3 linked regions of the Sus scrofa genome follow. The protein of the gene in region 3 interacts with the protein of the main gene of each other region in a biochemical or structural test. Links are inferred from orthologs where the notes say so. Each region holds a gene or a part of one and is shown on either strand. Other genes may lie near its edges.

The links.
Region 1: the proteins of BCL2 (region 3) and FKBP8 form a complex in vitro, tested with the Homo sapiens proteins (4 studies listed by BioGRID, with this or other methods). The link is inferred for Sus scrofa from reciprocal best matches to the Homo sapiens genes BCL2 and FKBP8.
Region 2: the proteins of BCL2 (region 3) and PMAIP1 interact in a biophysical measurement, tested with the Homo sapiens proteins (2 studies listed by BioGRID and IntAct, with this or other methods). The link is inferred for Sus scrofa from reciprocal best matches to the Homo sapiens genes BCL2 and PMAIP1.

What each region holds. Positions count from the first base shown.
Region 1 is NC_010444.4:59,254,730-59,259,961, reverse strand, and holds the start of FKBP8 (peptidyl-prolyl cis-trans isomerase FKBP8), read right to left. Parts: upstream 3,417-5,232; 5' UTR 3,297-3,416; intron 3,009-3,296; exon of another isoform or gene 2,919-3,008; intron 1,874-2,918; 5' UTR 1,849-1,873; coding exon 1,554-1,848; intron 1-1,553. UniProt on the Homo sapiens protein: Constitutively inactive PPiase, which becomes active when bound to calmodulin and calcium. Seems to act as a chaperone for BCL2, targets it to the mitochondria and modulates its phosphorylation state.
Region 2 is NC_010443.5:161,184,689-161,189,814, reverse strand, and holds the start of PMAIP1 (phorbol-12-myristate-13-acetate-induced protein 1), read left to right. Parts: upstream 1-1,676; 5' UTR 1,677-1,853; coding exon 1,854-1,917; intron 1,918-4,520; coding exon 4,521-4,627; 3' UTR 4,628-5,126. UniProt on the Homo sapiens protein: Promotes activation of caspases and apoptosis. Promotes mitochondrial membrane changes and efflux of apoptogenic proteins from the mitochondria. Contributes to p53/TP53-dependent apoptosis after radiation exposure. Promotes proteasomal degradation of MCL1.
Region 3 is NC_010443.5:158,335,676-158,340,989, forward strand, and holds the start of BCL2 (apoptosis regulator Bcl-2), read left to right. Parts: upstream 1-1,727; 5' UTR 1,728-3,069; coding exon 3,070-3,651; exon of another isoform or gene 3,652-5,314. UniProt on the Homo sapiens protein: Suppresses apoptosis in a variety of cell systems including factor-dependent lymphohematopoietic and neural cells. Regulates cell death by controlling the mitochondrial membrane permeability. Appears to function in a feedback loop system with caspases.

The sequences.
Region 1 (5,232 bases), on a different chromosome or scaffold from region 3:
AATGCCACCGGGAGTCTAAGTAGATCCTAGTCCAAAGGTTAGGGGCAGGGAGATAGCAATTCATATTCTGGAATATTCTAGAGTGTTCCAAATTTCTGTAATGCTCCCCAATTTATACATGCTCCTGCATGCAGTTTGAGAACCACTGATCTAGTGGATACCAAGGGACCCCCTGAATCTTTGAGGTTTCTGGACACTAATAGCGGATGTGCTGGTAGGGTCTTAATCCAGAGCGAGTAAACTCTGGGTAAATCACATCCCCTCTCCAAGGCTCAGTTTCTTTGTCTAGAAGCCTGAATTCTGACCTCAGAAAGTAGCTGGCTTGAATAAAAACAAACGGAGCCAGCCTCATGCTCACACAGGGTGCAGTGCAGATCTTAGTATTAGCACAGAAGAACTTTCCAAACTTTAATGCAGCCAAGGAGGCTGCACGACCTTGGGCAAGTAAGTGCCTTCACCTCACTGACCCTCAGTTTCCCTATTTATAAAATGGGGATACGTTAGGAATTACATCATGGGGTTGTTATGACAATAAAATAAGACGAAGCACAGGCCCAAAACCAGGGCTCAGTAAATACTACCCGCTGTTATCTTTAGGAGTAGTAAAGGTTATACCTGTGGTGGAAGCGAAATCAGTACCAATTCTGTTTCATTAGTGTCAGCGTTATTTTTTTTTTTTTTTTTAATTTTTCTTGGTCTTTTTGCCATTTCTTGGGCCGCTTCCACGGCATATGGAGGTTCCCAGGCTAAGGGTCTAATCGGAGCTGTAGCCACCAGCCTACACCACAGCCACAGCAATGCGGGATCCGAGCCACCTCTGCGACCTACACCACAGCTCACAGCAACGCCCGATCCTTAACCCACAGAGCACGGCCAGGGATCGAACCCGCAACCTCATGGTTCCTAGTCGGATTTGTTAACCACTGCGCCATGACGGGAACTCCTGTCAGCATTATTTGATACTACTGTATTGTTAATATTAAAGGTAGCAGGAAGGATGTTTCACTGTTATTTGTCTGGACATTAGCATTATTCAGTATATTAGATATCAGAACTAGTAGCATTATGTTTATTTTCTAGAGGTGCTGGAAGGGTTATAGGGGACAGGAGCACATGTGTGGGTTCTCCTGGTTTCTTTCTTGCAGGACTGTTCTAAACAATGAGCACACTAATAACACTAATGAATACTTTGAACCTGACAGAGTGATGAATAAAATGAGATGTTCCACAGGTCTATCTGACCTCAGAACATTTTTCTAGGGACAGGTACTTGTCAGACAAATGACAAGAAAAGGAGCGGGGGTTGAAAGCTGTCAGAGCCTGCTGAGCTGGCTGTGTGGCCCTGTACAGGTGATTCAGCCTCTCTGAGCCATGAAGTGTCTCAAGCAACTACCTGTGGCTGATGATCACGGTGGTTACACGTTTTACTTCCAACCTACCTCAAAACAGAGATAGGGAAATGAGGCTCAGGGTAGAAAGCCCAGGCCAAGGTCACTCCCGCACCTGAGCTGTCTGGGCCCCGTGGTCCAACCCGAGCCACCCCGGCTCCTTACCCAGGATGTCCAGCCACTCGTCTGGGGCTGGGGCGGGCTCAGGCTCAGGCTCCATGGCGGCCAGGAACTCTCGGGCCAGGGCCCCGGGCTGTTCGGCCTCCTCCACTGGGGGCTGCCCCACATCCTCAAGTGGCGGCAGCTCACTCAGGTCCTCCTCCTCCTCCTCCTCCTCCTCCTCGCCCTCTGCGTCTTCCACCCCATCCAACACTTCGAAGTCCTCAAGTGGTGGGGCTCCAGTAGGTGGCGGGGCAGTGGGTTCAGGGCCTGCAGCAGAGGGCTCAGCACAGGACGCCATGCTGCTGGGGGGACGGGAATTGGCCCTGGTAGGGAAAATGGATGCAGGTAAAAATACCACCAAGCCTTCAACTTCTCCTCTGCATCCACTCCCCACACTGCCAATCACTTGCTCTGTGTGACTCAGGGACTCCAGGCCTCGGTTTCCTCCTCTATACAGTGGGTACAGTAACAACCCTGGTTTGTCCAAAGGACTTAACAACCCACTCATCAAGCCCTGGGCATCAGGCTCAAACAGTGTTAGCTATTATTAGAAACAATTATTACTTAATCTTTATCAACACCTTGGGAAGTAGGGAATATCCCATCACCCCCACCCCCACCTCCCTCAGCAGAAAAGGAAATTGAGGCCCAGAAAGCCAAAGCTATTGGTCCAAGGTCAAAACACAAGCCAAACACAAGGGGCTGGATTTGAACCTGGGGCTTTATCTAATGAAATGCTCAGAGCAGGTACTGGGGCTCTTTTTCAGAGGGACAACCCCTGAGATCTTGAAGAGGCTATTTTTAGAGCCCAAGGGAAAAATAACTGAATCTTTACCAGGGCTCCCCACCCTCAGTTGTCCCTTCTCCTCAAGAAAGCCACCCAGAAAGGCCAGTCTTTCCTTCCATACACTGAACCTAATACCCTGCCAACCCCGACACCAGAGACCTTGACCCAAACCACCCAAACCATTCCCTAGCAGGGCTTTCTCCACTCGTCAGGCCTTCTTACCACCCTCTCAAAGTAGCCTCCTTCACAGGAGTGCTTGAGACCCCCAAGGCTTTTTCCTTGGACCATCAAGAACTGGCCCCCACCCCCAGGCCCCAAGCTTGAGAGGTGGCAGAACCATCATTCTAACCCACTGCATCTCCTTCCTAACGCTCACCTGCCTGTTCCTTCTGGGATAGGGTCTCATTTTCTGAGACCCTCCCAGCCCTCACACCCCACAATCCCCTGCGCCCGCGTAAGTAGCCCTCCCCCCACCCCAACCATCGCCCCCAGCCCGGGCCAGCTCCCCCCACAGCCGTTCTCTCTCCCCTGAAAACCCTAATGTCCCCAGACGCCCCCATCCCTATCCCATAACACCCTACGCTCTCCAGCCGCCCCCTGCTCCGGCCTGGCCCTCCGTCAACCTCCCAGCCAAGTCCCCAACGCCCCACGCATGTTTGACGCCACGTCTGGGGCTCCAGACCCCCCCGCACCCCTCGGGCACCCCCGACTCTGCACGTCTTCACCAGCAGCGCCCCCACCCGCTGCCCATGGCCCTCCATGGCCCCCACCCCCAGCAGCCCCCGCCCGGCCGCGCCCCCTCCGGCACTCCGACCCCGCGGGGCCCCCCGGCTCGCCTCCCCCGCGGCCCTTCACCCAGCCTATCGGCTGCAGCCCCAGCCGCGCCGGCCCCCGGACCAGCCCAAGCCCGGGCAGCGCTCCCGGCCGCCGCGGCCCCGCCGGCGCCCTGGGACACGTGCCTCCGGCTCCGGGACCCCCGCCTGGGGTCCTGCGCCCCCCTCCCCGCCCCCAGCCGCGGCCGCCGCGCCTCGGGAACCAGGCTCTGGCGCCCAGCCCCTCCCTCACCGCGCCCATTGGCCGCCGCCACCGTGACTTCAGCGTCCATTGGTCTGCACGCACGTCCGTCTCGGGCGTAGGCACCGCCCCCTTCCTGCTTGTATCCGTGGGGCGTTCTTAAAGGGGTAGAGGCCACAGCACCACCCCCGGGCGGGGGCAGGGAGCTGTAGATCTGTGACTGTTTGCAGGTCAGCGCCGCACAGCCTGGTCAGACTCACAACTCCTGTTTGAGCTTCATTCTGCTCATCTGCAAAATGGGGATAAACATCCACTGGAGGACAGCACTAAATGGTATTTCCTTAAAGAGCACAGGCTCGATTGTCAGGGCAACTCGGACTGCTGACCCACCCTAAACCCCTAGTTGCAAATGTAGACCTGAGGCCCAGAGGGCAAACGACGTGCAGAAGGGCACACACACAAATCTCCGCCCCGCTGTGTAGTCCCTCTAATTCCGAGAAGGTAGCCTAATGAATACAGGAGGAACTCAGTAATGGCTAGGTGAGTTGTTGAGAGAGAGTAGGGCCACTGGGAGTAGTCCATCCTCCTGGCACCCTCTGCTAGAGTGTGATAAGGTGCCCATGGCCCCAGAAGAGGTGGCAGCATCAATTAGAAGGGTTTTTTTTTGTTGTTTTTTTTTTGTCTTTTGTTGTTGTTGTTGTGGTTGTTGCTATTTCTTGGGCCGCTCCCGCGGCATATGGAGGTTCCCAGGCTAGGGGTTGAATCGGAGCTGTAGCCACCAGCCTACGCCAGAGCCACAGCAACACGGGATCCGAGCCGCGTCTCCAACCTACACCACAGCTCATGGCAACGCCGGATCGTTAACCCACTGAGCAAGGGCAGGGACCGAACCTGCAACCTCATGGTTCCTAGTCGGATTCGTTAACCACTGCGCCACGACGGGAACTCCCTAGAAGGGTTTTTATGGCTCTTGTTTTGAAGTGGGGGACACTTATTCCTCCATCATTCTACTTTGTTTTAGTCCCAGCAGTACCCTCTTCCAGATCATGTTCATACTTTTGCTTTCCCCAACTCTGCTCCATCCTGGGAAAAAAATTTTTTTTTTTGTCTTTTTAGGGCCGCACCCAGGGCATATGGAGGTTCCCAGGATAGGGGTCGAAATGGAGCTGTAGCCACCAGCCTATGCCACAGGCACAGCAACACCAGATCTGAGCTGCATCTGTGACCTACAGCACAAGTTATGGTAACACTGGATCCTTAACCCACTGAGCAAGGCCAGGAATGGAACCTGCAACCTCATGGATCCTAGTTGGGTTTGTTAACCACTGAGCCATGACAGGAACTCCACATCCTGGGAAGAATTTTGCTTGTTTTGTCCCCAATACCTCCAATAGGGCCTAAAGGAGTTCAAGAGATGAATGAATAATTGAATTAATTAATTAGTAAATGAGTGAGACTCTGGCTTTTGGAGGTAGCTAACAGTGGAGGATGTAACTGGCTTTTGGAGGTAACTTTTCAGATAGGAGCTGTGAAGTCCTCTCCTACAGGAAGCCCTCCCTGACCACCCCAAAGCAAAGCCAGGTGTCCTGATTGGCTGCATCCTTGGTACAGTGAACCCCCACTTCATAGCTAATTTACTTGTGTCTGTACCATCAGTTGATTTACCTTTGCCTCTCCCAATAGATTGGAAGATCTTCAAAATCAGGGAAGGGTATGCTGTTTCTCAGTGTCTTAGCACCGAGGCCTATATAGTGCCTGATACAAAAGGTGGGGGGGCAAGGTATTCAGGGAAATCATTTTGGAAGGAAGGGAGGGAGGGAGGAATGCTGGCCGGCCAGAAGAGGTGATAGGACAGTGGAATTATGTGAGAAATTGCCTGGG
Region 2 (5,126 bases), about 2.8 Mb from region 3:
GGTGGTTAACTCCTGAATTTTGTGTATTCTTATCCCTGGGTGTTCATCACACTCAAAACCAAATTGTTTAAATTCAAGAGTAGTTTTGTTCCATGCTTATAGCATTGTCTACATTTCTGCAGGACCAAGCCACAAATAAAAACCTGCAGGTTTGTGTTGATTGAGTGACTTAAGGTAAACAAACAAGTTCAAATGCCTACTGGGGCCAGATCAAGTAAATGAGAAAAACAAACAGCAGGGAGCGTGGCCAACCTGAGTGACCCCGCCCAATGTCTCTCTACGGGGAATGGCAGCCTCCAGCCCGCTCTGCTCTTTAGGAAAACGGATCCTGCGTTGTCAGGAACTAATGATTTCCTAAAGGAAGCCAGAAATCTGGACTTTTAATGTAATCTCTCCATTTTTAAATGTTGGAAAACCAATTCGAATTTTCACAAGACATCTGGTAGACCAATACGGAGAACCAAACCAAGCACTTCTAGAAAGTCATGGAGCTCTAAGCAACCAATTTACAGCCTCTGCATTATTCAGGGCAGATAATAAAAGAACACTCTTTTTCTAAAACACTGATTCCTGGTAAGGCGGCAGTGGGTAAGAGGGCTTGCTCGGTATGGGCCTGCCAGGGTTCAGATTCTGCCACTGATCTCTGCCTGTGTGAGCTGAGGCAACTCGATCTCTGCAAATTTCAGCTTTTGAACCACACGATCTAAAGTGGCCACACGATGCTAAGAATGCCAGCTTGGTAGGGTAGTTCTGAGGACAGAATAGGAAATGCCTGCGGAATCCCTTAGCATGAAGGGGTCCTCAATACCTATGACCATTCCAAATGACTCCTCCTTTTTACAAAAACAAAAGTATTCAAGTGCCAGCCAAACATCGTGCAAATAACTTCCTATTCCCAGATTCCTCATTCTTTCCTCCACCAAAGCATTGAAAGTTTTCTACACGATGACCTACTCTTTTTTTGTGTTACTAAACATCTACAATGGTCAGGAGACCCATGGGGAATAAACGCTCTACTTTTTCAACCCAGCCGTGAATTAGTTAGCCCCCTCCCTCATTCACATTCCCTCCCCCTCCCAAATCTAAAGTGTTTGCTCGCGTGCTCCGAGTTTTCAATTTGCAACAATTTCCCAATAGTTTCAGTTTCAATCTGGTACTTTTCTCACTTGGCTTCTGGTACCATCTCTATGGTTATTAAAGTTTTCTTCATTTCACGTCCCAGAAACTTCCTAAGTTCTCGGAGTTTGAAAACTGTCCTCTTCTAAACTCTTTTCGGGGTTTGTTTACAGACGTCGCTAATTGCCCATTTCTGATAAGGACGAAGCTCCAGGATTCCCCATCCCCAACCTTCTGCTAGGAGAACCTTTCTCCGCTCGCGACTCCTACACCCCGACAAGTCTGCAGCTGACTCGTTTGTCAAGGAAGTAATTTCCAGGCTGGGCCTTGCCTCTCCCGCCAAGCTCCCGGCGCCCCCCGCCGCGGATCGGCGCCGCCGCAGGTCGCCAGCGGGTCCCGGCGGGTCGCGCTGCACCGCGCGCTGCGCTGGGCCAGTTACTCGCTCCCCCCGCCCCTTTGCGCGCTGGTCCGAGGGGGCGGGGACAGGGGCGGGCCCGGCGTCAAGTTTCTCTACGTCACTGGGAAGTCCCCATTAGGTCGGAGCGCGGGCAGCGGCGGGAGCGCCAACCTCAGAGGCTTTTGGGCGTTCAGGGTGTTGCTTTTCTAGCTCTCTCCCGCTTGCTCGCTTCTGCCCGACCGCCCCGCGCGCAGCCTGCTACCTGCAGAGCCAAGGTGCTCGGGTCCGGGGACTGAGTTCTCGGAGTTTTGCGGCAAAGTTCCGGCTGCTGTTTGCGGAGATGCCTGGAAGGAGGTCTCGTAGGAACACTCAGACGAACCCTACGCGGGTGGCCCTCCCGCCAGGTAGAGAGCAGCTGGGGCCCGCGGAGATCCTGACCCGGGGCGGAGGCTGGGGTCGAGGTCTCGGTCCGGGCGGAGTCACCCCATGTGCGCCGGGCCTCAAGGTCAGGCCGGCGCTGTGCCCTTGCACATGTTTTAGGGGCGCCGGCAGGAAGTTCTTTAGGGGTTTAACCGCGGACCGTGGATATGACCAGGGAGGGAGTCCGGCTTAGGGTTGGGATGCAGCAGCATTTCAGAGGATGCTGAGATCAGCTTTCCCATCCCCACTTGTTCTGCCCCTGGGCCATGGGAAGAAAAAGAGCAAGTACGGGCGCCAGCCACGCGGAGAAAGTCATTGCCATGGCGGGTGGGGCCGAGAGAGGCTCCAGGAGCTTCCTGGCCTCCCAGCGTTTTCTGAGGGAGGCCCTCTCCCTCCCGTATTCTGGATCTTTTGAGCCTTACCCCCCTACCCCAGGCAGTAATAATGCTTGATACTATCACAGGCCTTCCACAAAAAACTGACGGAGGGGTTGGAGGTCCCACAAGGACTGGTGAAATCAGGATAATAGAAAGTTTTTCTTCTTTGTTAGAAGTGTAACATTTTAACAATCGATATTAGCTGCAGAAATGGGGTAGGAGAACAGGAGTTGGTCCGCAATGTTTTTCAATCCACCCGTTCCTCTGCCCTTCCCCATCCGTGTACCTCATCAAATAATTTAAGGTCGGTTTCCTTATAAATCTTATCAAATGGAGCAGCCATCTGCTCCTAAGGAGCAGTTGCAAAGAAGGCAAATAAGTCTCTGAGCTGGAAATCTGTGTGGGTCATACTGCTGTTACATCAGATGGTAATAGGCCGTTTTATACTTAGTTTAACTTTTTAGAGCCCATGGACCGCTCAAAGGAAGTGGTGCATTGCCCGTGTGGTCATGGCAAAGCTGGCACCAGGCTGCTCTCTTGACTCTTGCTTGGGAGGGAAGAAACTTTGCCCGTCTTTTGTGCTGGCCCAGAAATCTGGCCATGTTTCAAAAAATTTCCCATCATCTTCAAGAGCCGACTTACTCCCTATTAATAAGAGACAGCAGAAAGGTCCCTCTTAAACTTGGTTAGACAGTAATACAGTAAAAACAACAAAAAAACAAACAAAACCAAAATTAAGGTATAAGTGACATGTAACATTGTATTAGTTTTAGATGTACACCATGATTTGATATATGTGTGTACTATGACATGATTACCACAGTAAGTTTAGTTAACATCGATCACCACACAGTTACATTTTTTATTAATACATTTATAGATGTAACAAAAAATTAATACATTTATAGATGTAAAAAACAAAAAGGAAAGAACTAGGTGCTATTATCTGCCCTTTTTAATGAAAGGGATAGTTTTTCCTCTTACAATTCAGGGCTTCCAAAATTGTATGCTAAGTGATAATTTGTTTCTGTTTTTGTTTTTTAGGATAGCATGTTAATATATTCCACTCACTGAAAAAAACATGTCTTTGTAGATACTTCTCCAAATGCTTGACGCCGTAGCCTATAAAGAAAGATAGCTTACAAGAGATTTATTAGGTCTCAGAGATTATATAAAGTTTTTTTTTTTAGGAATTATGAAAATTTAACTCAGCTCTTAGGAAAAGATAAATTGGTTGAAATGTAGGTTTAAAAATCCACTTTAATATATATTTACAGTTTTTGTTTATCTGAGCCTAAATAGGCTATCTGCAGGGTCTGCTTATAAAATAAATCAGATTTTAACTTACAGTCATAATTTTTAGTGTTTATAATCATGATGTTGAATTGAACCAAAAAGAAGCGGAATTGTTCTTGGAAATATCCAAGAAAATTGAAATTATGACCAGTATAGATTTGGTGTTAATTCCATCTACTTAAAAAGTTCACTTGGAAATTAGATTATAAAGATTCCCCCCCATACAATATCTTAAAAAGTAGTAAGTATATGAATTAAATATTACTTATTTTGTGCTTCACTTATCTCCATAAAGGCAATGGATTGGTACAGTTTGGGGAGACTTTGGCTTAGACTCATGTGTAAACTTATAATTATTTTAGAAAATGTGGACTTCATTTTGGAATAAGATTTTATGAATCCTTCAAGAGAAAATTTCATGAGGCTAAGAATACATTTAGATTTGCCTAGTATGAGGGCATAATTTGAGCTATGAATTATTGGTTGCCATTTACAAAATAAATTATACTCAAAAACAACATAGAAGAATTTAGAATTTGACTTGTCTCTAACCAATTTTAAATGAGAAAGAAAAGGATGACATCAGTTGGGTTGGCAAAGGCTTGCTGTTTGTGGTGTGTGACATAAATGTCTATATTTGAAAGTAAGATAACATTTGCCTCATCCAGGATTGCAAAATAAATGTCTTTATTCTTTAACTTTTGGTTGTTTATGAATCACCGTGTATTGGTGTATGTCACGTGTGTGTGTTTGAGAGGGGCAGCAAGTAGCCTTTCTCACATTTTAGAAAACAAGTGTGCTTAAAAGGTAAACGCTGGGATAAACACTCAACTTGTCTCTGGGATGAACGTTTTAACTCTTGCTGGTTGCCGTTTGCAATGTTGTCAGGATAACTTTGATGTTTTCTTTTTCAGATCCTGAAGTCGAGTGTGCCATTCAGTTCAGAAGGATTGGAGACAAACTGAACTTCCGGCAGAAACTTCTGAATCTGATAGCCAAACTCTTCCGCCTAGGAACCTGACTTCAGAAGCTTGTGAATGAGGAGACTCCTTTAAAATGGAAGATTCCCCAGTAGGTGCAGATTTCATCAGTTAGAGGAGAGAATGCCTTGTAATGGAGAAGAATGTGAAGGAGCTCTCACTTGCTTTTGGATGCCCTAGGAATCGAAGACGGATGGGTCAAAAATGAGTTTCTGCTGAAGGTTTTCCAGAAGTCGATGTTTCGGATGCAAGAACATTAAAAAATGACTTTGTTAATTTTGAAGCAGGAATGGGAGAGTTATGAAAATAGGGGAGTTATTATTTATACATTTGGTTTTTGCTTTAGAGTCTTGTTCTAGTCTTTTTGCTGAAGGTTGCTGCCCAGCTTGGTGTAAAAGGAGTTGCCAAATGATTAGCTTATGGGCAAGGGTCAAGAAACAGAATATGTTCAATGTTTGTTTCTGCTTTTGTATGGCAGCTCCAGAGCAATGTGTAGTATTTAGTTTATATATATTATCTTGTTAAAAGTAAGGATTTTTT
Region 3 (5,314 bases):
GCACAGGTTTCTGCTCTTTATGTGAACAGAGAGCCCAGATCAATCGATACCCAGTGTCTCTCTCCAGGACAGCATACCTCCACGCCGCTGCCATGGATAAAAGGCGACACTGTCACAGTTGGGAGGCAGGAAGTACCATCTTCATTCATTCTCTCTTGCCAGGATAAGACATTTGTACCAGACATCCATTCCTATATGCAAGAGGCTTGGCATTGTTAGCTGATTGGCTTTGATGGGTGAAGAAAGGAAAATAATTTGCTGTGCTTATTTTGCCAAAGAATGAATGCTTTGATTTTAGATTAGGAATGAGACAAAATAAAGGTAGTGTGAGAACATATTTGTACTTGTGGCAGTACTCACGTGTCATGTTTCTATGATCACAACAATCCAGTATCCCTATATGTTTGTTCTTGAGTTCTATTAGGTAAGCTACCCTGCTATTTGTAAATTTTTCTTGGTGCTTTATTTGTCAAAGACTCTTAGAGATAAAAATAAACACATGCCACTTGTTTGCTCTTTGTGCCTTTCTCCTGGGGGCTGTTCATGCTTGTGAATAAAAAAAAATGTGTATATAGTGCGTGTGCGAGTCTGTGTTTGTGTATAAATAACTCGAGAAGGTGCAGCTATCTAGATTGGCTGCTAGGTGGCCGTGGACCCACTTACCCTGGTTTGGGGGCTTGGGGCCTTAAGGTAGCCCTGTAGCCTCCCACGGTAGCGTGGCGGGCAGCCCCTAACCCAGTGCCCAGACTGTTAGTAGAGGAAAAACATTGACTTAACCACTTGAAAGCCCTTGGTATATACCCCACTAATCCCTCTGCCGGGCCACTGAGAGCTATGTCTGGCTTTGGTCATGGATGGTGTCACCGAAGTGTATTCTCTGCGTGGACACCTAGGAAGCAACTTGAAAGTAAACACACGCTTGGGGCTTCCCTCGCTGATGAATGTGCAGCAGCGTCGCCTCCGTTCGGAGGGCAGCGCTGAGGTCTCTTTGCTTCGGTCAGCATCTGCCAAGCGCTGGTGTGTACACACACAGGGGCTGCTGTGTGTACACACACACAAGGGCTTGTGTGTACACACACACACACACACACACACACACACACACACGGGAGCGCGCGCGCGGTTAGGGCCGAAGTGATTACTGGCGCTTGTTTTCTTGGCGCCCACCCCCGTCCCCTAGCAGCCACCCATCCGGCCGCGTGCGGTTCCCCCGGCGGCCCTGGCCGCTCGCCGGGCCCTCCGAAGGCCCGAAGAGGCCCCGCGCACACCCACCGCGCCGCGGCCGCGCGGGAGGCCTGCGCCGCCCGCGCCACCCACCGGCTGGGCCCAGCGGGCAGGCTGAGCGAGCGGGCGGGCGGGGGCTGTCCCGGGCTCGCCCTCCCCGGCCGCGGCCCTGCGCGCCATGTGTCCCCGCGGGGCGCGCCGCTCCAGAGCCGGCCGCGGCTCCTTTAACCCAGGGAAGGGGAGCGGGGCGGAGGGGGCGGAGGGGGCGGTGGGGCGGCTCCGAGGAGGGCTCTTTCTTTCTTCTTTTTTTGAATGAACAGTGTGACGTACATACAGGAAACCAGTCGGTTAGAGGAGAATGAAGTAAGAGGCCAGCCCCCCCGGCCCCGCGCCCGCCCCCTTCCTCCCTGCGCTGGCCCCCGCCCGCCGGGCTCCCGCCCGCCAAGCTCGGTTTCCCCGCCGAGCCGCCGCCGCTGCCGCCGCCGCCGCCGCCGCCGCCGCTGCCAGCGAAGGTGCCGGGAGCCGAGCCCTCCCCGCCGGCGCGGCCGTCATCGCCCTGAGCGGGAGCGCGGGGGAGGCGGGCGCAGCCAGCTCTGCCGCGCAGGAGCAGGAGGAGGAGAAAGGGTGCGCAGCCCGGAGGCGGGGTGCGCCGGTGGGGTGCAGCGGAAGAGGGGGTCCAGGGGGGAGAACTTCGTAGCAGTCATCCTTTTTAGGAAAAGAGGGAAAAAATAAAACCCTCCCCCACCACCTCCTTCTCCCCACCCCTCGCCGCACCACACACAGCGCGGGCTTCTCGCGCTCGGCACCGGCGGGCCGGGTGCGTCCAGCCTTCATTTATCAAGCAGCTTTTCGGAAAATGCATTTGCCGTTCGGAGTTTAATCAGAAGAGGATTCCTGTCCCCGTCCCCGGCTCGTCCACCGGCCCCCGGTCCCTGTCTCTCTCCCGTGGAGGCGTGAAGCGGCCCCGCGGATAGAAATCCATGTCCGTGCCCGCGCGTGTGTGTGCGTGTGTAAATTGCCGAGAGGGGAAAAATCACAGGACTTCTGCAAATCCCGGACTGAAAATTGTAATTCATCTGCCGCCGCCGCTGCCTTTCTTTTCTCGTGCTCTTGAGATCTCTGGTTGGGATTCCTACGGATTGACATTTCTGTAAAGGAGAAGTCTGGGAATCAAACTGGAAATTCTCCTAATTTTTACACCTCCTCCCCCAGCTCCTGATTCATTTGGAAGTTTCAAAGCAGCTATAACTGGAGAGTTCTGAAGATTGATGGAATCTTTGCCTTATGCATTTGTTTTGTTTTCACAAAAAGGAAACTTGACAGAGGATCATGCTGTCCTTAAAAAATACAAGTAAGTTCTTTGCACAGAAAATTGGCTTAATGTAACTTTCAATGGAAACATTTGAGATTTTAACTTTTAAGTGCATTCGAGTAAGTTTAATTTCCAGGCAGTTTAATACATTCTTTTCAGCTGTGTAACTTGTAGTGTGTTAAGCCCTGCTTTCACCCAGTGTATAAAGGGAAATGCACCTGATTTTGACTGATTAGTTTTTTTAACCTTTCAGCATCACGGGGGAAGTAGACTGATATTAACAATAATTAATAATGTGCCTCATGAACTAAAGATCCGAAAGGAATTTAAATAAAAATTTCCTGCATCTCATGCCAAGAGGGAAACACCAGAATCAAGTGTTCCGCGTGACTGAAGACACCCCCTCAACCAAGAATGCAAAGCACATCCAATAAAATAGCTGGATTATAACTATTCTCTCTTTCGGGGCCGTGGGGTGGGAAGCGGGGGCGAGAGGTGCTGTTGGTACCCGGCTGCTTTTCCTCTGGGAAAGGATGGCGCACGCTGGGAGAACAGGGTATGATAACCGGGAAATAGTGATGAAGTACATCCACTATAAGCTGTCGCAGAGGGGCTACGAGTGGGATGCCGGAGACGCGGGCGCCGCGTCCCCGGGGGCCGCTCCCGCACCGGGCATCTTCTCCTCCCAGCCCGGGCGAACCCCCGCTCCCGCCAGGACCTCGCCGCCGCCGACCCCGACCGCCCCCGCCGCCACCGCCGCCGCCGCCGCCGCCGCGGGGCCTGTACTCAGCCCGGTGCCACCTGTGGTCCACCTGACCCTGCGCCAGGCCGGCGATGACTTCTCTCGTCGCTACCGCCGCGACTTTGCCGAGATGTCCAGCCAGCTGCACCTGACTCCCTTCACCGCGAGGGGACGCTTTGCCACGGTGGTGGAGGAGCTCTTCAGGGATGGGGTGAACTGGGGGAGGATTGTGGCCTTCTTTGAGTTCGGTGGGGTCATGTGTGTGGAGAGCGTCAACCGGGAGATGTCGCCCCTGGTGGACAACATCGCCCTGTGGATGACTGAGTACCTGAACCGGCACCTGCACACCTGGATCCAGGATAACGGAGGCTGGGTAGGTGCATGTGTGGTTGAATGTGAGTCTGGGCTGCGCGTTAAGGGTCTGAGATGCAGTGGTTGGAGTGTGGGTGGGCTGCTCGACCAAGGGCGGGCGGATGAGCCAGTGCTATAAAATCAGGTTTGTGGCTTCCCTCCCCATTTCCCCTGTTCAGAGCTCTCTCCCTGCCAACCGTACTGTGATCATTCCTTCCCGCCAAAACTGTTTGCCTTGCTTGCCAACCGTTGAGTTTCAAAGATCCAGGCTTTGCTATTCAGTAGGCTCTTGGGATAATGGTATCCCTTCAGTGTTTTTCAAACTGGGAGTCCAAGGATCCCCAGCATTACTGTACCTGGCCTGAGTAGCTCCTTGAAATCAGAGACAGGGCCAACTCATAAACTGACCTCAGGCTGGGCCCTGGGAATCTGCATCAGAAATAAGCCCCTCTGGGGGTTTCTTCTTTGTACTAAGATGTGAGAACCACCCAATTAGAAGAACAGACTCCCCCAGAAGACCAAGGTCATGCCTTCTCCTCACTTGGTAACATCTACCCAAAGAGGAAAACCAATGGAGCCTATTTCCCTGAAAATCTTGGATGTTTGTGAAAAGGTAAATTGTAAGTTGACTTTCCAAAAGTCCGGCCATTCCAAGCTGCAATGTGAGCCACATTCCCAGTGGGCATGACCCATTGTCTTGAAGAACACTCATCTATGGGTGTTTATTTCATCAGTGGCAGAATTTGCATTCGCTGCACGCTTTGTGTTCTATTTCTATAACTTGTGTATGATTTTGAGGTTTACTGGAATTTTACTGTCTTACTTTTCACCAACTAGAATTCACATCATTTTGGGTCTTCTCTGCTGGATAAACGTGAATCTACAGTATCTATATAAAGCATAGAAGAATTGATTCTTAGCTATGGATTCCTGTGCTCTGACTTTAGTTGAAGTGATTAATGCCTGTATCTTTGAAGAACATGTGTGAGCATATTTTTTTTTTTCTGGTATTGTGCTAGGTAGAGCCTTCATTATGTCACCATAAATTTCTTTTTGGGTGTATGATTCTTTGGGGGTGGGGTACAGGTCCTAAGACTGAAGAAGTGTAATTGAAGTCTATACTTTATATATCTAAAATTATTAATTTATGAAAAACCAAGAAAAGGAATAATTTTTGTCTGAAGTTTTTGCAGACTTTTTGTTTTAATCTAAACAATTGTCTTTGAAAAAGGATGCAGTTCAGTGAGAATTGCATCCTTTATTAGGAGGATTATAGGGAGAATTACTAATGCTATTATTTTATGGAAACTAACAGGAGCAAAAAGCCTAGCAGTTACTATAAGTGGATTGGATTTCAAGATGCACATTACATATTTTACTACAGTTTACAAAGTGTGCTAATATTAAGGGGCCAAAAAGAGAAAAGGCCAAGAAAAGTAGATGACTGACATGAACATCTGATCCTACTTGACCAAAGTTGACAAAATATTGATGCCACTGTTCAGTGTTTAAAAGTAAACATCCCCATTTCATCTCTAAAATTTAAATGCTTTTTGTGAGTTGTTTGTTTTTTGAGATCCCATACTACCAGATCTTTAGTAATTCTGGAAGAATGCAGTAAACGGTGAAAAGAATATTTTTGTAAAATGTTTGGTTAAGTAGGTGGTTTTATTTTTAACCACCAT